Linked DNA regions of Xenopus tropicalis. The protein of the gene in region 2 interacts with the protein of the main gene of each other region in a pairwise test. Links are inferred from orthologs where the notes say so. Each region holds a gene or a part of one and is shown on either strand. Other genes may lie near its edges.

What was found. The genes of interacting proteins can lie anywhere in the genome.
Region 1: the proteins of retinal rod rhodopsin-sensitive cGMP 3',5'-cyclic phosphodiesterase subunit delta (region 2) and rnd1 interact in a two-hybrid assay, tested with the Homo sapiens proteins (2 studies listed by BioGRID). The link is inferred for Xenopus tropicalis from reciprocal best matches to the Homo sapiens genes PDE6D and RND1.
Region 3: the proteins of retinal rod rhodopsin-sensitive cGMP 3',5'-cyclic phosphodiesterase subunit delta (region 2) and rap1a interact in a two-hybrid assay, tested with the Homo sapiens proteins (2 studies listed by BioGRID). The link is inferred for Xenopus tropicalis from reciprocal best matches to the Homo sapiens genes PDE6D and RAP1A.

What each region holds. Positions count from the first base shown.
Region 1 is NC_030678.2:136,031,856-136,039,881, reverse strand, and holds the start of rnd1 (rho-related GTP-binding protein Rho6), read left to right. Parts: upstream 1-3,230; 5' UTR 3,231-3,322; coding exon 3,323-3,442; intron 3,443-5,480; coding exon 5,481-5,568; intron 5,569-8,026. UniProt on the Homo sapiens protein: Lacks intrinsic GTPase activity. Has a low affinity for GDP, and constitutively binds GTP. Controls rearrangements of the actin cytoskeleton. Induces the Rac-dependent neuritic process formation in part by disruption of the cortical actin filaments.
Region 2 is NC_030681.2:101,176,902-101,184,971, reverse strand, and holds the start of retinal rod rhodopsin-sensitive cGMP 3',5'-cyclic phosphodiesterase subunit delta, read left to right. Parts: upstream 1-2,583; 5' UTR 2,584-3,609; coding exon 3,610-3,656; intron 3,657-8,070. UniProt on the Homo sapiens protein: Promotes the release of prenylated target proteins from cellular membranes. Modulates the activity of prenylated or palmitoylated Ras family members by regulating their subcellular location.
Region 3 is NC_030678.2:59,457,442-59,465,467, forward strand, and holds the start of rap1a (ras-related protein Rap-1A), read left to right. Parts: upstream 1-3,230; 5' UTR 3,231-3,429; intron 3,430-8,026. UniProt on the Homo sapiens protein: Counteracts the mitogenic function of Ras, at least partly because it can interact with Ras GAPs and RAF in a competitive manner. Together with ITGB1BP1, regulates KRIT1 localization to microtubules and membranes.

The DNA.
Region 1 (8,026 bases), on a different chromosome or scaffold from region 2:
CTTGGGCTTTTCCACAGAGCTGACATACAATTCCCATGTACAGCAGCCTGAATGAAAGATGGTATCTCAAAATCCCACCAAATACTTTTCCCTAGACATTTCTTACCAAGTTCCCTCTAATCTCCCACAGTTCCATACACTTCCATGATGATTTGTGCATGTCTAGACATGGACTGGAGGAAGGCTTAACAGATGAGTTCCCAAAAGGAAAACACTGATCTGGACATTTTGTTTCACAGGATTTTATTTAGATGCCCTATAATCTCACTATATTAACTAAATTTATTGAAATTGACTTACAGCTGTATTATGTTATATAAAATGTATAACAAATCTACTTTGTACTTTTTTAGATTATTTAAAAGAAATTATTTTAGATTATTTGTTCTCCTTTCTTTTTATATGCTTACAGCAGTACAGCAATGTAGGTTTATGCTAGACACAAGTATTACAGGGGAAACTTTTCAAGGGAGATTAATGACCAAAGAACAGTCACCAACAATGTTATCCAAAGGGGAAGGCACATGATATTCAGCTGAAACAGTATGAAGTCTGCTGGGAGTCCTTGCATGCTGGGAAGATACAGACAGTTCTCTCTGCCTGGAGGCTCTTATATATATTTAGATACATATATTCACACATTTATATACAGATGCACTTGTTCAGCAATTTCTGTTTCTCTATCTCTCTCTCACACACACACAGTGTATATATGGAGGAGACTCTGGCCCTATATACAAAGAATGTTTTGCTTCCCTAATTGTTACACCTACGGAGGCTGGCAGAAGAATAAGGAAAAACAGAACAGGAAGGGTGTGGAAACATTAGCACAATATAACCCTAGGTTTATAATCTTACATAGATTTAGTAAGAATCAGATTTCCATATTTCTAGTGTTTAATCTCTTGGATGCCGTTTCCGTAGCTGCCCCTTTGTAAATGAGTGGGTGGTAATTCCTGCTTGGCCCATACACACTTAATGCTAACTTCATCACTGATCTTAACTATTAAAAGGTTTATGTGAACTAAAAAGTTTCTGCATGGTCTTGGGCTGGGCATACATGCAGTGTTCTTGGATAGAATATACTGTGTATGTGCACACCTCAAGCCTGCCTATGGTCAGGCCCAGATTTGCGGTAAGGCCAACAATGCCTGGGCCTATGGAAAATTATTTTAGGGGTGGCATGCTGCCCAGGCCAGTCTGCATATACATGTTTGTTCCAGAGCACTGGGCATTGGGCACACAGCAGATTAACAGTTGTTTGTGCCCAGTTAATAGTGTTCTGGAACACAGTAGCGGAGTGCATGGGGGGACAAAAAACTGCTAGCTAGCCTAGGGGGTGTCATTTTTTGGAAATCCAGCCCTGCCAAGGATTACTTGGATACAGTGGAATAATGGTGACATCGCACTCCCCAACAAAGTACCCAGGATCGGTTTGTTTTGCTGTATAGAAAAGATGAATCAGCCTGGGGAGAAAGGTTAGGGAACTTGATCACTAGGCATTGCCTAACAAAATGACCCCAACCCCCACCCCCAGTGTTTTAGCTTTCCTTGTGTTTTAATTTATATTGTCTAATTTGTATTTGTCACTTGCAGTCTTGCTTTAAGGGCGAAGACACACAGGGCGATTAGTTGCCGCAATGTTTAGAAAAGTTGCAGCGACTAATCTGTGCAGAGGAAATGCGCAAGCGATTAGTTGCAGCGCTGGCCATTATACTCTATGTGCGAAATGTCATGGCAACTGGCTTAATTAAAAGTTGAGGCGACTAATCGCCTTGCGTGCACAATTTGCAGCCAGTGTCCCTTCCTGCCTCTTGCCCTGATTAGCCAGGGCTCAGACTCTATGATGGTTATATCCTTCAGCCCTATCAGAATCCATAGATTTTACAGGTGAACCTTACACACCCATTTAATGCATATTTAAAAGTAGTATTCCTATATTTTATTGTGCATGAAATAAATGAAGTTCCCCTTCAAGCTGGGCAGCAAAGGGTTGTGCCTGTTACATAGTTCACAACCTTGTATTTCTAAATAAAACCTGCCTAACAGCTACTTGATCCACAGGAAGGCAAAAAGAAAAACAAACACGTGGAGCCTCTCCAATTTACCTTATGATAAAAAAAATTCTAAGATGGCAATCGTACCAGCAAGGAGAAGCGTAAATGTATACACACTCAGGGAAGGCTGGGCGGTGTGATGTAGGGGCCGCAGCAGGGACCCCTTGGGGAGTGTGGGGAGCCCTTGGGGAGTGTGGGGAGCCCTTGGGGAGCGTGGGGACCCCTTGGGGAGTGTGGGGAGCCCTTGGGGAGTGTGGGGACCCCATGGGCAGCAGCCTCGGTGGGCCCTGTACACTCCAATTTGACTTTGGGATCAGTCCCTGGATCAACTTTGTCCTAAGAGCTAAATTTAACTGCCCTGTATTTTCTAGTTTGTCTAAAGGTCATCTAACCCTCTCTAATACATCTGCCAAGTACTCAAAGGGAAGTTTTATTTCCATTCTTTACCAGTTGCTTTGAGGCTCCTTCCTACAGATCCCTGAGTTTTTCCTCCTTGCCCCAGGTTCTGATCTTCTTTCCTGCTGTTAAAACCATTATCTTTCTTGGGTTGTAGATCCAACACATGCAAGTGGAGCATTTGCTTCTCATCCCCCCTGCCTATGCTTGCTATGCCCAACTCCTCTGCACCCACCCTCCATAACCCGCTTGCAGCAGTCACCAAAAAGATCCTCATGGAGCACTGGCTGCGAATCGCCAGACTCGTCCTATTTAAATATGTGCAAATGTGCTGGTACAAACAGCGGTTTTGCCGCTTAGTCAGAGAGTTACATAACCCTGAAACCATGTAGGTAAATCAGTTCCTTATTCGTACGCAATGCCTGCTGCTTTCCAGGGCCACTGTAAATAAGACAGTAAGTACCTATACCGAATAACAATTTGTTGCCAGCGCCAGAGCGAGTTCCTTTCCCACCACAGGAATGGGACGAGCAGAGCCAGCGGGCACATTATGCAAGAGCGGGCGTTTACACGTGTATTCAGCATTATCACTGCCGCCCTTTCCCGGGCAGGCGGGCACATTCCTGACTAGAAAGACAGTCTCAGGTTAGAGGCGGGGCATCCCTGCAGGACTCGCCTCTAATTGGCCCAAGTCCATCCGACTTCTGCCTTGCGATTGGCTCAGGGATGCCTATATAAAACCTCTCTGTCGCGTTCTCTCTTTAGTGGTACCGGCGACGCGGAGGTTATAAGTTGGAGGAGTTGGGAATTTGTATCAGTTGGGTAAAAAGTCATTGTTGGATTTGTCCCACCATACTCCCTGCATCACCATGAAGGAGAGAAGGAACCCACAGCCCGCTGTAGTGAGGTGCAAGTTGGTTTTGGTGGGGGATGTTCACTGTGGGAAGACGGCAATGCTGCAAGTGTTGGCAAAGGATTGTTACCCAGAGGTGAGTTCTACCCCCCCATGGCCTGATTCACATGAATGCCCTTTTCTTTGGGTATTAGTAATGTGTATGCATGCTCGCCTTGCTGGATTAACAGTAGCCTTTAGCCCTGCCATTAGCCAAGTCACATTGCTGAGATGCCAGTGCACTCATGTGGAACTGCTGGTTCCCACTCCTGCTGGACTGTATCTGCATCCTTTCTACATGAGGGCTTTACTAGCACCTCTAGCGCTACTGCCTGGCTGGGACTTGCCAAATGTGACTGGCGTATAATGTTTGCTATATAATACCTTACTTACATGGCTGTTGCCTGATTTATATATTTGTATGGGATGGTAATGAATTAAAGCCATAACAGGTTGGTTATTCAATACTACAAAGGGTGATGTATTACAAGTTTGCCCCAATATAGCAGAATTTAATGAAACCACCCTACCTATCTACAGGGTGTGAGGTGGCTACTATGTGCCCTAAATGTATTGTATGCGCAGCAGCATGTAGAATATGATTGGAAGCTCACTGGTAAGCATTCCCCTTTGCCATGGATCAGATGGATTAGGCTAATTTGGAAGATCCATGAGTACAGTTATGTAAGCGCCCATGCTTGTGCTATACCCACAATCAATCTTACTGGTATTATATGATCTGTTAGTAAGGGCACAGATCCCCAGAACAACTTGCATGTTGTGCTCACCATTTGTAGAGGTTTAACAAGAAGCCCATGGGCACTGATCCATAATCTTTTATAAAGAGTTTTTTTTTTGTATAGAGTTGCAGCAACAAGCACCCCAACCTCTGCCAGTCACCCTCTATCCACCCTACCCTCAACCTATGTATGAAGTCTATTGGTCCATTTAACATTGCATTTTCTGTGCAATCTTATTGTTTGTGCCTGTGTGGCCCTTGTGCAGATTCAGACCCAACACCCTGTGCAGTTATGCCACCAACATTCTTATTCTCTAAACGGTATGTTTAGGCAGAAGGTGATTGAGATACATTTATTACTGTACTTAGGAATTTAGCCATCCCTGCTTTCCTTCTGCCAGCAATGTACCCACTGAAGCTGGTTCGGTATAGTAGCTAGAATCTAGTATATAGATACATTTTCACAGATAATTCCCATTTATTTGCAGTGTTTTCTGTAAAACAGTGTTGTCCAGCCTGTGGCTTTCAGTCTGTTGAACTGTAACTCTCAGAATTCCTTTACGGGAATAGACTTCATGTTAGGAATCATTTGATGCCCCAGTTTACAGTCTAAAATGTTTATAAATAAACCACTTTGAATAATTGTAACCCACACTTTGGTTTTGAAACATACCACATACAGAATAGTTGCAGATCAATTATCTGGAAACCCGCTATACAGAAAGCGCTGTAGTATGGAATTGCCATTTTCCACAGCTGTGTTTAAACAACAATTCTTTTCTGACTGATAATGCTTTTTTTTTTTTTTTTTTTTAGAATAAATCTATAGTTACAAGCCTACAAGACAAGCCTATTAAGTTTTTCAATATTTAAATGTTTTATAATATCCTTATGACTTGGAACTCCTAATTAAGGAAAGACCCTGTAGAACTTTAGGTCCTAGGCAATCCATATAATAGATCCCATACCTGTATAATATTGTGGTCTTTATGAATTTGTTTGAAAGGGTAACAAAGCCAAATATTTTATTCGTTTTTTTTATTTAGGTGAAAAAATGTTGTATTGGGTGTTTTAAGTTCCTCAGTCTGACTCTGGTTTCTCTCCTTTGTCTGCTTGTCTGGGTTGTCTCATTGTATGGTGCATTCATCTTGCGTGTCATTATCATCTGTATGTTGCAGTGGTATTGTGGAGACATGCGTGCTTGTGTTGGCTGCAGTGGTGTCACCAAGCAGTGTTGCCACAAGAATCTGTATATGTTGCTCAGATGCCAACTGTCACAGTTGCATAATTGTGTTTATGTTTGCTGTCCCAGCATATTGTGTTTCATTCAAATATCTCTGTTGCCTGCAGTGTTGTCAGTAAGTCACAGCTATATATGTGTGTCTCTTGTTTTCAGACCTATGTACCTACAGTATTTGAAAATTACACAGCCAGTTTGGAGACAGAAGAACAGCGTGTGGAGCTCAGCCTGTGGGACACTTCAGGTATGGGACCCTTGGCATTTCTGCCACAGACTATAAAATGATGACTACTCTTCCCTAGGAAAGCATTAGTGCAAAAAGTGATGTATTCTCTTTAATATAGAAGGTTTAGTTTTCAGTCCTTTGCATATTTTAAAATGGCAATGCCTTTATATGCTCTGACTTGGTATACCTGTCTGTTGTCATGGGTTCACTATCGCTATATATAGTGGAAAATGGCACTGCTGCAACGGTTCCAGAGAACAATGAATCCAGCCCTCTCAGCAGTTTATCACTCCCCTTTTGCTTAGGAACAATACCTTTGAGCAAATTTCCTTTATGGACTTCTTATGATAATAACACATTTATTTGGGGCATTTGGCCTTCCTCATTTCTGTGTGAATGCTTTCAGGTGGTTCTCAATAGGGACAGGAGTGCAAAATGACATATCTATCTGTGTGCTATTTACCTTAGGGAGAAGGCAGTTGCGACAATTTTAAAAATCCTGTTGTGGCGACTAATTGCTTCCGCTAACGTAATGGAGGCTTGCATTGTGCGCTTCTATATTTATGGGCGGATGTAGCGTTGCAGTGTTTAGTCTCCATGAAAAGGTTTTTCAAAAATTGCTGCGACTAATCTGTCTATCTTCACCCTTAAATGACCGGAAGCCAAGTTTTAGCAGGTATTTTCTGATAAAGCATTCAAAATAATAAATGGTGTGCAGGATAGGGCAATTATTGGGGAAGGGTGGAATAGATTTTTTACCTAAAAATGTTTAGTGTTACTTTCCCTTTAAGGTCGCTGTGTGACCTCCAGGGTTCTGTGGTAGAAGAGAGATAAGAGACCTTGATTCTGTATTTACAGAAACTTTAACTGTTAGACTGGCAAAGATGTCTGTGAAGGGTTCTCACATTGTGCACCTAAGGCCTATTGTACATAGGACTTTTTTGACCAGTACTGTGCTGAAGCAAAAAACATTTGTGATCAAAACACTTGTTACCAATAACCATACTAGATCTGGGCAAAGGCTTTGCTTATGGAATCTGTTAATGTTGGCAGTCGGCCTCCACTTCAAAAAGCTCTGAGTTTGTCAACACCAGCATGTCCTGTAAGTAGATTGTTTACCTTGCTTTGCAATGGAAAGAGCCAATCGGAAATTTTGGCCCTTTTTGTTTTGGAATGCCCTTTTTAGACAAAGCATTTAACCACTCACATGATATATACACTTATAAAAGTGCAGTATAATGTGGGTTCGCAAAAAGCAATTACACAACACTTAAGTGCTATTTGAGCTGGCTATATAGTCCATGTAAAATAGGTCAGGATTAAGCAGACAAGATTTGATGGAGCAAGCAATTGGTATGTCTAATGCTCTCATGGCTTAATGGTATAAAACAGACTGGAATTAAAGAATACCATTAGAGATCATTATACCTGTAAAATCATTCTATTCACAATCACCTTGGAAGTAGGATGTATTGCTTGATTATAAGCACTCGTTTCTAGAAGTATAGGTGGTGTTTCTCTTCTTGAAAGGCATAACACTTTTTTTGGCCTGAGAAATCCAACTAATCATTTAAAGCATCTAAAGCATTTAGCATACAGATTCCCAATCTTGTTACACACCTGAAGGTTGAAAGATATAAAACAAATAATGGTATTAGAGTAAAATTGGCCCATAACCTTTCTTTGAGTAGGAACCTGGGCATGTTGGCTGACTTGCCTGAAGTGCTTTTTGGGGTGTGGTTGCCTTTTAGTAATACAGATAACAAGACAATGAAGAGTTTGGTTGTTGTTTATCTAGACTCCTTTGAGGCAGGGGGTGTGGAAGGTTGTTGTAAAACAATTGTAGGAGGGAAAGGGCTGACATTCCACTCTGCCTGTTAGAAATGGCTGTAAACTGTAATCAGAGGTCTATTGTTTGGCCGGTTTTTCCTGCTGAGTGCCGTTCTGCTGGTCATTCTGGGCTGAAACTGCCCTCCAGCTCAAAACAGGGTGGAAGTCAATTTGACCCTAACAGCCACATTTCTACATGTTGTTACAGCTGTTTCAACTAGGACAGCTGAGTATAGTAAATTTCCCAGTTACATGGCTGTCTTTTTAGTAATGCAATGCTAGCATTATCTTGGATACATAATTTGCTTGATTTTCCCCTACAGTTTAGTATAATCTGAGGAAGGTTTTCCAGCATCACCATCCCTCTTCATTGGGCAATTAGAAAATAAGATTTGAGTAATTTTCTAATTTTTGTGTATTCAGAATGCTGTAGTGCCGCATAGCGGAAGAACCTGAATGAAATTCTGAGCTCTCGTACCCATATTATTGAGTCTTGTTTTTTTCCCTAGATCTGCAGTGGCACTATTTATCTCTTAGCGGCCCTGCTGGCTACTTGCTATGCAGCGCCAGCCCAGACACTGCTGCAGATCAGTGGCAAGAATTGCAAAGCACATACGTGGCACATACCCTTTCAGCCTGCTCTACG
Region 2 (8,070 bases):
ATGTCAGTACAAATACAGCTGCTCTGTGACGGCCTCAGAGGTTGTCTAAGAGAATATTGGGAGCAACAACACCGTGAAGTCCAAAGAACACACCAGACATGTCAGGGATAAAGTTATTGAGAAATTTAAAGCAGGCTTAGGCTACAAACAGATTTCCAAAGCCTTGAACATCCCACAGAGCACTGTTCAAACGATCATTCAGAAATGGAAGGAGTATGGCACAACTGTAAACCTACCAAGACAAGGCCGTCCACCTAAACTCACAGGCCGAACAAGGAGAGCGCTGATCAGAAATGCAGCCAAGAGGCCCATGGTGACTCTGGACGAGCTGCAGAAATCTACAGCTCAAGTGGGGGAATCTGTCCATAGGACAACTATTAGTCGTGCACTGCACAAAGTTGGCCTTTATGGAAGAGTGGCAAGAAGAAAGCCATTGTTAACAGAAAACCATAAGAAGTCCTGTTTGCAGTTTGCCACAAGCCATGTGGGGGACACAGCAAACATGTGGAAGAAGGTGCTCTGGTCAGATGAGACCAAAATGGAACTTTTTGGCCAAAATGCAAAACGCTATGTGTGGCGGAAAACTAACACTGCACATCACTCTGAACACACCATCCCCACTGTCAAATATGGTGGTGGCAGCATCATGCTCTGGGGGTGCTTCTCTTCAGCAGGGACAGGGAAGCTGGTCAGAGTTGATGGGAAGATGGATGGAGCCAAATACAGGGCAATCTTGGAAGAAAACCTCTTGGAGTCTGCAAAAGACTTGAGACTGGGGCGGAGGTTTACCTTCCAGCAGGACAACGACCCTAAACATAAAGCCAGGGCAACAATGGAATGGTTTAAAACAGTGATCCCCAACCAGTGGTTTGTGAGCAACATGTTGCTCCCCAACCCCTAGGACGTTGCTCCCAGGGACCTCAAAGTAGCTGCTCATTTTAGAATTCCTGGCTTGGAGGCAAGTTTTGGTTGCATGAAACCCAGTGTAAAGCCAAACTGAGCCTTCTGTAGGCTGCCAGTCTACATACAGGCTACCAAATAACCAATTATAGCTCTTATTTGGCACCCCCAGGAACGTTTTCCATGCGCGTGTTGCTCCCCAAAACTTTTTCCATCTGAATGTGGCTCACGGGTATAAAAGGTTGGGGATCCCTGGTTTAAAACAAAACATATCCACGTGTTGGAATGGCCCAGTCAAAGTCCAGATCTAAATCCAATCGAGAATCTGCGGCAATATCTGAAAACTGCTGTCCATAAACGCTGTCCATCTAATCTGACTGAGCTGGAGCTGTTTTGCAAAGAAGAATGGGCAAGGATTTCAGTCTCTAGATGTGCAAAGCTGGTAGAGACATACCCTAAAAGCCTGGCAGCTGTAATTGCAGCAAAAGGTGGTTCTACAAAGTATTGACTCAGGGGGCTGAATAATTACGCACACCCCACTTTGCAGTTATTTATTTGTAAAAAATGTTTGGAATCATGTATGATTTTCGTTCCACTTCTCACGTGTACACCACTTTGTATTGGTCTTTCACGTGGAATTCCAATAAAATCGATTCATGTTTGTGGCTGTAATGTGACAAAATGTGGAAAAGTTCAAGGGGGCCGAATACTTTTGCAAGCCACTGTAGGTATCCAGTTTTTGTGCAGTTAAGAGAATTTTTGTGTCGCCTCTCCCTACTAGCTCTCCTGGCAGTGTTTCAATGCCCACTTCCTCTCAGTTTATATTTGGTTTTTCAGTACGTAGTTCCTCCCATTATATAAAATGTATTTTGTGAGTCAGTACCCACTGCCTCTCATTATATAATATAATTTCGGTGCCCCTCAGGCCTGGACTGGTAATCTGTGTATTCTGGTAAATGCCTGATGTGCACTATAAATTATTACATTAACATTTATTTATAAAGCGCCAACATATTCCGCAGCGCTGTACAATATGTGGGTTACATACATTGGACATACAGAGTAACATATAAAGCAATCAGTAACCGATACAAGAGGTGAAGAGGGCCCTGCCCAAAAGAGCTTACAATCTACAAGTCACTATTTATTGGGGAGGGGGGGGGGGGCTATTTGGGCCTCTGTATAATAGAAATGCCATGTCCTATTTTGAATCACAGTCCGGGTCTGTAAACTATGGTTGAATAAGAGGGGGAGAAAATTTGCGCCAGTAAATTTAACCTAAAATAAAAAAAAATAGAATCCAGTATCTTCCCAACTATGTAGTTACTAACAGTCATCATGTAATGCATTAAGTTACCTACACGAGTTGTGAACATGTGAACTTGTGCTCTAAATTGCTTTGCTTCAGTAAGTAAACTTTGCAAGATCACCCAAACTCAATTATTCTCTATTACCACCTGGAACAAGTAGCCAGTGAATGTATTTTGACCCTTTTCGTGTCCCGTACAACTTTCCTCCGTTTCTATGCAACATGAGGTTCCTCAAATTAGTGACGCGCGAGCACTCAACCAGACTTGAAATCGATTTGTCCCGCCCTGCGTGCGACGTTCTCTCTCTCCTAATTGGTGCGTGGCGATATCACTCAGCAGGGATTCCGACTGTGATTGGCCGGTGCTAGCATTTTTTGTTGAACTGTACTAAACGTCATAGGGCAAATAGGAGGAACTGATGTAGCTTAGTAAATCTTCTTAGCCAGATCCTGTAGACGAGGAGCTAGTTGTTAAATCCATGCTGACATAACGAGTAGTTACTATACGATTCCGGAAAGCAGTGCAACATTGTAGAGTTCTTCCCAGTGCCGTGGCCCTGGGACCTCTGTGTTACGGAAAGCTGATCAGGGCGTCTGTCAGAGGCAGAATCCACGCTGCTCGCCTCCAGGTGCAAGTAAAACTGCAAATTCTGTTCAGGATTATTACTCTATGTGGTGGGTGTGATATAGGTGTGGAACTACTACTTAATGCATAGAAGCTGTTTATGCTGCTAGATTACCCCAGCACCGACCTACCTGCACTATGTCTGGCCTGTACAGCCTACCTGTGGTCTGACTGGCTGATATCGCTTGCCTGTACCCTTTCTGGCTCAAACCATCTACCATTGCAGTTATATTTTGTGTATTGTCCATATCATCAATTGCTGCAAGGGCCCCAACTCACCTGCCAGAATTGGCACTTGGACACATCTCAAGATATTGCATATTAAAACGTGTATGTACTGAGAGAGTGAAGCTACTGTTGGATCACCTATGATTGCTTGTGCTGGTTGCTGTTGCTAGCACTGGCTGAAATGGAATTACTCTGACAGTCCAAGTTAGGGTTAGGCCACACCTATTTTATTGTCATTCTACTGGCCAGCGAGAGACCGTCATGCATGTACTTTCTGAAATTTAAATTAAACAAGACTTATACCAGTACTGTTCCAAGACCATCGTATTTAATTTTAAACCAAACTAAACTTTTGTTGTGTCAGTATGAATCTTATGCAGGCTTAACAAACCTGGATCATCTACAGAGGCCAGAAGTCTATTGTAATCACTGTAAAACTCAACACTGGCTTTTATAGCTTTTGCATAACTAGGACCGGAAAACTTGAACTGTATATCTCAAGGGATAATCCTTCAACTGATAAAGGAAATCAAGGACAGCATTCAACATGTCTCAGGATGAGAGAGCCAAGCAAATCCTAAAGGGATTCAAACTGTATCCAACAATAAGGGTGTAAGTGGAAAAGAGCATGTTATGAGAAAGTGATATCACAATTATGGGTCCCTTGGTGTAGGTCAGGTGTTGTAAGTATAAGATATAAATTTAAGTCAAAAAAATGAGTGGCGTCTGGTGATTCAGGCTTTATTTTTTTTTATCTCAGTGTTGCATTGATGACCAGCCTCTGGCCCTCCAGCTGTTGAGCTTTCAGCATCTCTTGGAAGATTAAAAGTGATTAGTGATTAGCGCTTAGGGAGATCTAGTCCAGATGGCAGGCCACAGGTAGGACTTCCCTGCAATACGGCATTAATGCAAACTATCAGCATGGTGTGACCATATGTGATATACTTATCTATAGGTTTATATTTGGTGCTAGAACATTAAATGCATCAAATACACACACTATTGGGATTCAGAGACGCAATAAACACCTCAAAATTTGTATAATAAAATACTACAAAAAAGTGCAAGTCTGCATCAGACCTGCTTGTTTAACAGACAAACAACAACTGCTGGCATTATGAAATAAGCACTAGATCGGTTACATTGCAGCCATTTTGTATGGGTTAACTCTCTGTATGGATGATTTACTAAGATAACAACTACTACATATCACCAATTCAGTTGCTCATGACAACCTATCAGATATTTGATTTCATTTTCTCAATGAGTGGTTTTTTTTTTGTTTGAATTCATGCCATAGGCAGAGGTATATGATAAGTGGCTTCTATAAGGTTTTTTTGATCTGAAGGGGTGGTCATTATTACAGATTGCTAGGTCTATTTCTATAGAAGTAGACTTATTTTTGATGATGTGGTTAAGGTCTTGTATGTGTTGTGTCTTTAATGGGAAAGAAACCTTGTCATTGGGGTAGGGGAAGTGTTGATATGTAAATTCCCCTCTAAGTGAATTTAATCACTGGAGTCTTTTTTTATTTAATAGACATGAAGCTGCGGGCCAGTTTGGGTGCAGATGGAGAGGGGGGGGGGGTGCAGGTCGACAAGAAGTCGACCCCGACATCACTACTGGCTTGGGAAACTTTCTAAAAGTGGTTCAGCTGTGCCTTTCATAAACTTAGATTTGAGCATGTGTAATAGACTAAAATCTGAAAAAATAAGGACACAAAGGAGCATCGGTCTGAGGAGATAGTATAGTAATGTAATGCACTGGGTAGTGCTTTACATTTTGGCAGCCCCTAGTATATATAGGATTCTTAGTCTTTCCATGTGTCTATACACAGACCGATATAGGCAGCCCACTGGGCCCTGTATGGAAGCTAAACTTTTTAATTTGTCTGGTGCTGCCTTAAGCACTGGACCTTAGCTCCAGGGTCAAACTGGACTACCAGGATATCAGGAAAAATCTCAGTGGGCCCAGACCCTGCCACCCAAGCCCTGGCTGGCAAATGCCAGAGAGGCTGCTGTAAGATGCCATAGACAGTCACTAGTGGGTTGATGGGGGGCTGTTTGGTTTGGGCATCTCTGCCTGAAATGCCATGGCCTGTTTTGAATGCCAGTCTGCCCGCAAGCCCCAGCCATCACCTCTCCCTGCTTAGCTGTGCTACTTATTTTGCTGTTTAAGGAACAGTTTAGTAAAAAATGAAACTGTGTAAAATAGACTGTGCAAAATGTTATGTCCACTCAAGTCACTGATTGGTAACTGACTGTTAACAACTTAGGAGGAGGAAGTAGTGTTCTGGCTACTATGTTAGACATCTGCCTACATAATACTTTATAGATTACATTTTCGGCTAACTAACCATATTGAAAACATTTTTTTATTTTGCACAGTCTATTTTACCCAGTTTCAGTTTTACACTGAACTGTTCCTTTAAAAGTTAAAGATGGGCATAAGTTCTACTGTGGAACGGCCATCTTCCGGAGTGGGAACTTGGTGAGCTAGGAGCAGCACTGGCTGGGTGGTGGACCCCTTAAGTCAAGTACCCAGTGGGCCCCAGTCACTCCAGTCAGACTCTGCTCAGCTCACTCCCTTTCTTCCATCTTTTGATAAGCACATGAACAGGCAATCCTACTGTACTGAGCATGCACTGATCGCTAAAGATCAAGTTCTCCCTCAGTATCACTGCTGGCTTTTGCCTTAAGTATCCAGCGGCGGGCTGCAGAGATTTTCTTATTTTGGGTGCTTAAATATGACTTGACTCTGCTTCAACATCGCAGCCTGAACAAACCAGTGGATTTTTATATGTGTAGCTAACTACAGGTAAAATTTTACCCTTGCATTTTTCTTTTGCAGTTCTGCTGAGTAACTTTTTTAAATTAGATTTTGTGTAGGGATGCAATGAATCCGCTATCGTAAATGTTTCGGCCAAATACCAAACAGTCTGAATACTAATTTGTATTCGTAAATTAGGATAAGTAAGGGTTTAGAGCCGTGTTTGTGACCATAAGTAATGTGATTTTGAGGATTTGGCTCGGCCAAGAGTGTGGATTTGGCTGAATCTTGGCCGAGTCCCGAATCAAATCCTGGATTTGGTGCATCCCTACTTTTGTGGGTCAGATTTAATCCTACAAAATCTGATATCCATAGGTTGTGATGTAAACTTGTACCAGTGCAGTTGAGCACCTATGTTAGTAAATTACCCCCACTGTTTTTTTTTTTTTGTTACTTCTGTTTTTGGTATTTATTTATTTTTTCTAAGAGAATAGCTATAATACTTTCATAGAAAGCCACATTCTTGGAGAAAAGGAGAGCTCACTTGTGCCTGGACCTACTGGGAATTTTCCCTTTTGTCGTTTGGTTTAGTTAGACCATATAACTTTAGAAAGCCTACCAAGATGAAATGCATTGGGCAAAGTATGTATTTGGACCTGTGGAGTAAGTTTGGGGACACAAGAAATGTACAATACCACCGCTAAAGGTAACAAAAAAAAAAAAGCTTGCAACTGAAGACAGAAATGGCAAGCTACACAGAGCCCCTTTTAACACCACTGTTTAAAGGAGGATCACACAGAGACACATATCACCTTTAGAGCATTAATACTATTATGGTAGGATGACTTTCATTTTTTTCTTAGATATGTTATCTGGAACATTTATAGTAGTGATCTAAAGTTTTGTTTTTTTTCTTTCAAAGTGTTCCTTTACAGCAGGGATCCCCAATCATTTTGTAGAAGTAAACCACATTCAAATGAAAAAAGTTTTGGAGAGCAACATAAGCATGAAAAAAGTTCCTGGAGGTGCCAATGAGAGCTATAATTGGCTATTTAATAGCCCCTATGTCAGGGGTGTCAAACTCAATCACATAAGGGGGCCAAAATCTAAAACACAGACTAAGTCGTGGGCCAAATTTTTTATTAATATACTTAGTAAGATACTAAGGGGTATATTTATCACAATGTGGTGATGTTGCTCATAGCAGCCAATAGATGCTTTGCTACTGTTGAAATCTGATTACTGATTGGTTGCCCTGGGCAACATTACTGGTAATGCTTCACTCCACTTTTTACACAGCATGATAAATATACCCCTTAGTCTTAGTTACTATGTGAGGAAAATGGAAATTGATCAGGCTGGATGGTCAGACTCACTCACCAAGGGCCACATAAAACAGCCAGGTGGGCCGCATTTGGCCCCCGGGCCTTGTGTTTGACATATATGCCCTATGTTGACTGGAAGCCTACAGAAGGCTCTGTTTGGCAATTACACTGGGTTTTTATGCAGCAACTGGGAGCAACATCCAAAGGGTTGGCGAGCAACTTGTTGCTCACGAGCCATTGGTTGGGGAACACTGCTTTACAGTATATTTAAGGCATACACCAGTTTTTCTAATTTTTACTGTAAATTGATTCGGGATTGTGAGTTACCCCAAGGACAACTTGGCTGTGGTACAGCATGTATTCTGTTTTGCCTGGTTAAAGAAATTAAAATGTTTTTTTTTTTCTTTTTAAGAGAAAATATACCTGATTTATCAGAAATGTTTATTGATTATAGTGGTTGGACAAATTATGTTATAATAGAGATTAGATAATACATGTCATTATGATCGTAACAAGATTACATTTAACAGTATAACAGTATAAATAATAGTTCTAACTGAAAACTAGTATGAATAGCTAGAGTGACAAAATGTTTTCCCATGTTGGATTAAATTAGTTGTCGCTCAGGTTCGGTTAGGAATTACAGCTGTATTTTGGTCTGCCAACGGGCTTGGTGGTAATTTATGCTTTATGCCATAGTCCCTCAAGCTGCACTGGTAAGAGGAAGTAATGGTGTAGTAGTGAGGCAATGTCTAGATGGCCCTGGCACCACCGATCATTTATTTACAGGTACTGCTGAAATAGTGGTTGGCGATGATTCTGTACTGAAAAAGAAATGTAAAAGGTTACCTTTACAAAGGCATAAAACTACAGTGTTAAAAAATAATTAAAAAACTTAATAGGTAAACTTTTAC
Region 3 (8,026 bases), on a different chromosome or scaffold from region 2:
CCAATAATCAGGCCGAGGTCAATACCGGGAGACCCAACAGAGATCAGGAACAGGAGTTGAAGAACAGGGTAAGGTGAACGGAATCAGGCAGGTACGCGGGCAGGAACAGGGCCAGGAATCAAGCAGGTAAGGACACTGGATTGCAAAAGGGCTCAATGATCAAGCAACCAGGGGTTGCTTGTAACAGGCTTATAAAGCCCATTAATTGTCTGATTGCAACCACCTGGGCTAATTAAGGGAGGAGAAGGTGAACATAAACACAGAAGCGAAGAGGGGTTAACAGAATGTTTAGGGCTGGATGCCCATGGTCTCCAGTGGCTCAGTGAGGTAATGCAGAACCTGCCTAAAATAGAGTCCAGAGTTCCAGTACAGGCAGGTCCTGACAACTTCCTAGATGTCACTGCACTTCACACTTTTCCCCTCCCTCCCTATCACCTAATTATGTAGCCAGTGCATGGGTATGGGCACCTGGCCCTCCAACAAGATTTTAGTGTGATGCAAAGCTTGCCTTACTAACAGTGTCCACAAAATGGCAGCTGCCTGCTTGCTGTGATTGAATAGTTCCAAGACTAAAGGAAACAAGATTAATACTATCTGTATAGTGTAAATGAAATTTATTTTGCTCAACAAACATGATAGAAAAGAATTTGGAGTTTTTTCTTAGGGTGACAGGTTCCCTATAAGGCACTTCACACCTTTTTATATTACCATAAATTATAAACATTTGTTTTTGCTAATTTTATAACTTCTGAAATGTAAATAAAATGAATGACTAAAAATAGTAGAAGGCTCTGTTCTGTTTTCAGAAATGTAGACTTCTTTATTCAAATATTTGGAACCGAAAAATACAACAACATATAGTTTAAGCCGAAAAGCCAATTTTCATATACCTAACTTCCTGTGTGAGCAGCAGAAGCACTATGAGTTATCTGTGCCTTTATGTTTTCTGAACGGAAACCTCAAATTGTGCAGTCAAAGTAACTGCACACCAGCTTTCCGATAAACTTGGGCACAGGGAACTCTCCTCTAATTTGTACAGAGAGCAAATTAAATTTGAAAAAATGATGCCCATATTTTACACACATTATATCTGATATGTATATATATATATATATATGGGTGATGAGTCCCATTCACTATGAAGATTAGTTTGGGTGATGTATGGTGTTAAGTGCTTATTTGTTATCCAAGATATTCATTGTAAAGTTGCTTCTGCCAAGTGGTTATATTAACATGCAGTTTTGTCAGCACTTGGAGGCAAAGTGTTCAAAGGTAGCATCTAGATTTAGTACCCAGTGAGAAAGATTAAGAACCCCATGGACTTTCTAGAAGGAGGCCACAAGCAGAAGCTGGGAAGAAGAACATGCACTGCAGAAAAAAAGTCATGGTAGGCTTGATTTTAGGGGCACCATGCCGTCCAGACACATTTACATATGTTTCGGAGCACAAGACTGGACATGCAGGTTTTACAGTTGTTTAAAACTGACAAGCAAGTGCCTCCAGGGGTTGGCTGGCCTTGGGGCACCTGCATAATAAATTTGGGCCTGAGTCTTTGATAACGTATTTGGGCATCCCTTTTAAAATTGCATCTCCTCAGATTAAACTCTCACTGATTAGTAAGACACTTTCTCTGATAGCAACTTCGGCACAAACATTATAGGTTTTTTTTTTATGGGTGAGCAGCTGAACACAGGTTATCATGACCAAGCACAATGTCAAATATCATATGAACTGCTTTAAGTGAACTATTAAAGAATCTCACCAAACTGGAATATATATAAGTAAGTATTCCCTTTTACATCCTTTCCCTTGATCCATCATTTAGTGATGGGCTGTGTGCTCCCTCAGAGATCACATAACCAGAAATAATGAAGCTCTTACTGTAACTGGAATCCTATGATCCCAGGAGGCGGCCCTTAATTCATAAAAATGGCAGTTTTCTATTTTGGATTACTCAATAGCACGTACTACTAAAAAGGATCATATTTATAAAAATGGTTTATTTAGATGAAGAAGGGTTTTACATATGAGCTTGTTTATGCAATATATTTTATGGGGGTATAGTTTTCCTTTAAGTAATAGAAATGGATAATCTACAGTCTGAGGAATGAGTCTTAGTTTAGTTTGGATCTTATTCTTGGATACCAGGAGAATATTACCTAACTGAATAAAAAGTGCCAACTGTTTGCGGAAGAAAAAATAATAATATGTGACTGTCTGCATGGTTTGAGCTAGGATCACTGGTTCTGCTGAAAGCAAACCTTAAGGCTACATTACTCTACAATTGATTGATTGAGGCTTGATTGCCTATCATCAAAATCCCAGTTCACTAGGGCTCTTGTGGCTATATAGTGGCAAATTCCACCAACACAAAGCGCTGTAGAGCATTTTGTTGCATGAGAAAGTTTCAGCTCAGCTAACTTGAATTGCTTCTAGTTCATTTCTATAAGAATTGCCTGGAACTGTAGGTCAGATTATCATTGTGCAATGATTATAGGCCTGAATGGATTTAGGTAATATCTATAGAAGTGAGTGTGGCTGTTAATTATCCAATGCACTTTTGCCCTATTTTAACTCTACTCCACCTACAGCAGGAATGATCTGAAACACCGCTGCAGCTATCCTACATAAACCAGCACCCCAGAGAATTCTACCCCACATTTAGGGCTTTCCAGCAGGAATTTAGCCAATGTACACATTTGCCATTACTTTCAAAAAATGTCACCTCTCTGGCAAAGCTATGGTTATAAAGCTTGTACCCTAGTGTTACAGATAGCTCCAAGAAAGCGTTCTGCGTCTACACAGAAAGCCTCAATGCTTGCATCAAGTCTCAAAAAGAGTGCATTGGATATGTTCATACGCACACGTACAACTACTTCAAATAACTTTATTTCAAAGAAGTAAAATACAGCAAACGTCCACGTCATGAATCTTATTCGGTAAAAGATCAGTTATTTTAGAAAGTGCTAGCAGAAGAGGAACATTCTTCTCGTACATAGTTAACATATCGGAACCCTCTACCAAGCGCGCTCCCATCTATCTAGCCCACTAACGGTTCTTCACAAAGACAGCCAGCACGCATGCCACTCTCTACTACGCGTTTCCTATTGGCTGCTCCTCGGCCGAATGGGGTCGCTTGCCCTCCCCCAGCTCCGGCTCCTCCCTTTACCCCATCCTGCAAGCAGTGCGCGTACCCGCTCCTAGTTAGGCGGGTCCCCGTGTCTCTGTGTGACTTTTTGGGCAGCTGTCGGGACTATTTTTTTTTTTGGTTTTGTTTTAGTTTTATCTCTTTTCGTATTGTTTCGGTGCCGCTAATTTGTTATCCAACGAAGAGACAGTTTCTCGGCAAAGAAAAAAAAAAAAAAAAAGGATCTGAGTGGACGTCGGGGTATTTTGCGGGCCCCTGGTGGGAAAGAAGAGAAGTTGTCGGTAAGGCGGGTTCTGGGCAAAGGCGAAGGGCAGAGGCAAACGCTAGCTTGTATTACAGGGAAGGCCGAGGATGAGGCCTGTTTGCCGGCTGCTTACTAACTCTCTGCCTGCTCTCGGCCCTGTCACAGTTACTTTTGTGCCTCCATGGAAATTCTGCTGGGCGTTTGACACTGTCGGTCCACCCACGGTTCTACGGCTCCCAGCAAGCTCAGTGAGCGCAGAAACTCAAGCTTTGCGAGTTACAGAGCCGTGGCGATCTATTTACATAATGACTAGTCTTTCCCTGTGCTACATACAGGGTCAGCCCATTAAGGCCGTCACCAGCAGGTTGTTGCTCTTGTTAAACTTGGGCATGTGGGGTACTTGTTTCTCTCTCTGCTTGTCATGTTATACTGGCGTTTTAACCAATGGTTCCGGTCCCTATGCTTTGCACATCTGAAGCAGGATCTTGTGACTGAGGCTGGGTGTCATTGGCTAGCTCACTGACAGATACGCAAGTTCCAGTTTAGACACATTACATTAACATTTATTTATCACTTTAAAGTTCCTTTTATGTCTTGGTAGGTTTCCTTGCTAGCTCTGTACAGGGCAGCAAGCAATGGGGAACAGGAAGTAGAGGGTCCGGGTATTAGTATGTTACACATATGTACAGGGCCTTTTGTAAAAGAGTGTTTCTGATAGTGTGTCTTTCTATTTAAGTGTGAGTAGCATATAGGTAACTCTCCTATAGAAGGCACATATTTAGGGTCAGATTTATCAAAATGTGAGTTTAGAGCTTAATAAATAAAAACTCACCCACATTCTATTTATTCCTGTGGGATTTTTAAAAGTGTATTGATCAAAAGGCGAGTTCTTACATTCACCCTTTGGTAAATGCCCTTCTAAAATCCCAGAGGAATAAATAGAAGGGGGGTGTGTTTTTATGTACTAAGCTCTGACTTCACATTTTGATAAATGTGCCCCTTAGTGTTGGGGGGAAAAAGGCTGCCCAAGATTGATAGTATATGCAAAAAGTTTTGCATTTAGAGAATTCCATTGCCCTCATGGCCAACAGGAATAGTCAAATAACTAGTTTGTCTACATTTATGTCCAATCTACTTTGGTGTCTTACCATAGGGAGAGTTATCACCAATGTTGATAACTTCAGTGGCCCACACATGGATGAGCATGCAGTCAGAAGTTAGTCAAACTGCATAATAACTCTTTGCATGTTTGTGTAGCATTATTAACATAATACAAACCTCCAAATCTCACACTTGGCATTTTCAACTGCTATCTGGATGCTAGGCCTTGAGAACCCTAGCAACCAGGCAGTTGGAACTGAAGATTAATAGGAGAGGGTATGGAAAGAAAGCTACACAGTAAAAAAAAAAAAAAAAAAGAATTGTTGCTTAATCTGTTTTTTGGGTGACAAATAATGTTTTGAGTCGGAGACTAGAATAGGCAGAATCGGAATAATTCTAATAAATCAATCCCGCCTTAACTTATTAGTCAAAATTAGTAGTGTAATGTTTGTTGAACAGTGATGTTCTTTACTTTGCATTGTGCACATTTTGGATGGGGTGTGTTAACTTGTGAGCTTTGGTATTTTGTTGAATGTCATTCTAGTGTCACTAGCTGTTTCGTTAATATGCATCACTCATACATGGACACATATGTAATAATCCTCTGTACATTAACTGCTAGTGATCCATCAGCCAATATAGAGAGTTGTATTTGTTTTCTGTATAGAATTCAACTTCATGCAATTTTTACTGTCATATTACATGTGTATTGAAAAATGGGAGTGACTTGGCACATAGCATCATAATAAGGGTGTGGACTTGACCACAACTGCATGAGAACTGAAAGGAAAACTAAGCCCACTTCAGGAATGAATAGTGTAGGCCAAAATATATATTTTTTGTTTTTGTTTTTTTTTCATCAACATGTGGTGATTCTGGGAGAGCATTCAAGTTTTTTGAGTTTTTTGGGGGATTTTAAATAGAAATCAGCGTTACCAGAGGAACCCCACACAGATATGTGGAGAACACCACTGTTTAGAATCAAACCTAGGACTTTAGCAAGGGCTAACAAAAGCTCTAATATGCCTTGGGGCATGTTGTGCTTTATAGCTAAATCACTAGGCCAAATATGTTGCTGTTTTTGTTGTGACAAAAATTTGCAGCTGCTGCAATGTTGCAGGTGCAAATCACTATTTATAATGACTGAGGATGGAAGGCAGTACTTGTCCACAGCATTTGTGGATGAGTATAGGTAAATTACATTTTGGAGAGGGCTGAATTTATTATGTTATGTTTTTACCTCTTATTAATGTAAAGTGTAAATGGTAGCTATTTGTTTAATTTTATTTTCCATTTGGACTCTCTAGTCTAAAAATGCATACTACAACATTAACAAAAGGTGTCAGAGGTGGTTTAGAACACTTTGGGGAAAGTCCCTGTGTGCTATAACCCAAAGAAGTCACAGCCTACTTGTAAGCATGATTCTGCTTGGAGCTTTGGCTGTAGTGGCCCTTTAAGGTGTTTGTGTCCTCAAAGACATATTTATGTCCCAATTTGCCCATTCTCCCTTTAAATGCTTTGCTTGTGATGATGATGAGCGGCAGCAGCAGTTACCTCTTAGTATGTGATTGCTCACTAAATCTGCCTGCCACCCCTATAACTATTTCCATCAAGCTCCTTTTCTCCCCTTTCGTAGTACCCCTTCCCTAAACCAAACACATTTATTCCCACAGGCAGGGATATTACTGCTGCTGCAGCACTACACATTTCATTCAGTGTCTTTGTTAGATCATGCCGCAGTAATGATTTTATGCCTCTGCCATATTTTCTGCGTTTGCTTGCCTGATATTCTTTTTCTCCTCACACAGAGGCCTTTTATATTATAAACAGCGAGTTGTTAGGCAGGAGTGTATAGTGTACAGGAAGCTTAAACTTTGGTACCAGAAGTCACATCCTGTCATACTTCTTAGTAGGTACTCTGTTGGTGGTAAAGAAGTGTAGTAATAAATAACATTGACACCAATTCAGTGTACAAGTCTGTTGAGAAATAGAAAATGCATTTAAGAGAATGAGAGAGCACCTGGGAATTAGGTTGGGCAGAAGAAGATTATAGATGAGGACAACATGAAAAAATAAGGCAGCTTAAGAAACAGAGAGAAAGAGAGAAGTGCAACAGCTCACCTGTTAGCAATGCTGGGGTCAGTTCTGGATACTGTCTACAAGGCCTTAGTGTGCCCCATAGTCCAAAAACATACAGACACAGCAAAATTTCTTTCTTAACAGCAAGGAATTTTGCAGGACATAGACACATCACTATATTGTAAGGCTTAGGAGCCTACAGCAAGAGAAACAAAATTTCTTAACAGGTAGGCACTCCATGCTTTACCTAGCACTTACTCATAGGCAAAAGCCCAACAGATAAAGCAGAAGCATTTAAAGAAAGAGGAGCAGGAGAATGGGGATGGAGAAGAAGGAAGCATTTCAAAACAGATATCCTCTCACTGATCTGAAAGTGCTGCATGCTGCAAAACTTGCGATCTATGATCGACTAAACTGTTACTGCCCAGATCGTGAATTTAGTGGTTAAATACTGCCAAAGTGTCTATGTATTAGATCAGGGTTTTCCAGCTGGCGGCCTGTGGCCCCCCACCTGTTTGGCTGCTGTGACTGCTTATCTTAGAAGAAAAACGGCTCTCGAAGCACCACAGACCGCCAGAGAGTAGATAAAATCCAATCTTTATTCACATCCTTTTAAAACCCAGAACGCCTGACGCGTTTTGTGCATCCAAGCACTTAATCATAGGCATGTGACTGCTTACCTTTGTGTAAACTTTAAATGGTATCAGTACTGAGATTAAATGGCCCCCTGCATTGGTCACACCTCAGATTCAGACTGTAAACCCCTGTATTGTTTAAACGTGTAATCCCCTGTACTGTTCACACCTTATAATTCCTGCATTGTTCACACCTCAGGCTCAGACTGTAAGTCCCCACATTGTTCTCCTAGTCATACCTCAGACATACTGTAGGGGCAGTGCCAGCATTGTGTCACTGTATGTAATGACTGTCCTATGCTGCCTGTGTGTATGACACACACAGGCAGCATAGGGCAAGCAGAGTACTGCCTGTGTGTGCCATACTCTTCCTGCCCTATGCTGCCAGTGTGTGCCATACTCTGCCTGCCCTATGCTGCCAGTGGGAGGTGAACCTGCCAGGGGTTTGTTCTGGAAGTTTGTTAGCATTTGGAAATAGTCATTATATGGTCCCTAAGGTGTGTAATTATATGCTGGGGGTTGCTGTGCTATCCACAGGGGAGGAGAAGACATATGGATTTAAGGGTGTGCCTTAATATGACATAATATTCTTTCACATACAAATGAAGGGTGACATCCCTACAGTGAGCACCAACCATTTGTGTTTTTGCTGCGCTACCAATATTAGGTGTATGGCCTTAAAAGCTCTTGTGATAACATGGGTGTTGTTTGAAGTGGGTGTGGTTTAAAAAGGGGAGTGGTCAAAACAGGCTTCCATTATTGGCCCTCCATCATGTAGGCCACACAAATTCTGGCCCTCCGTACCACAGAAGTTGCACA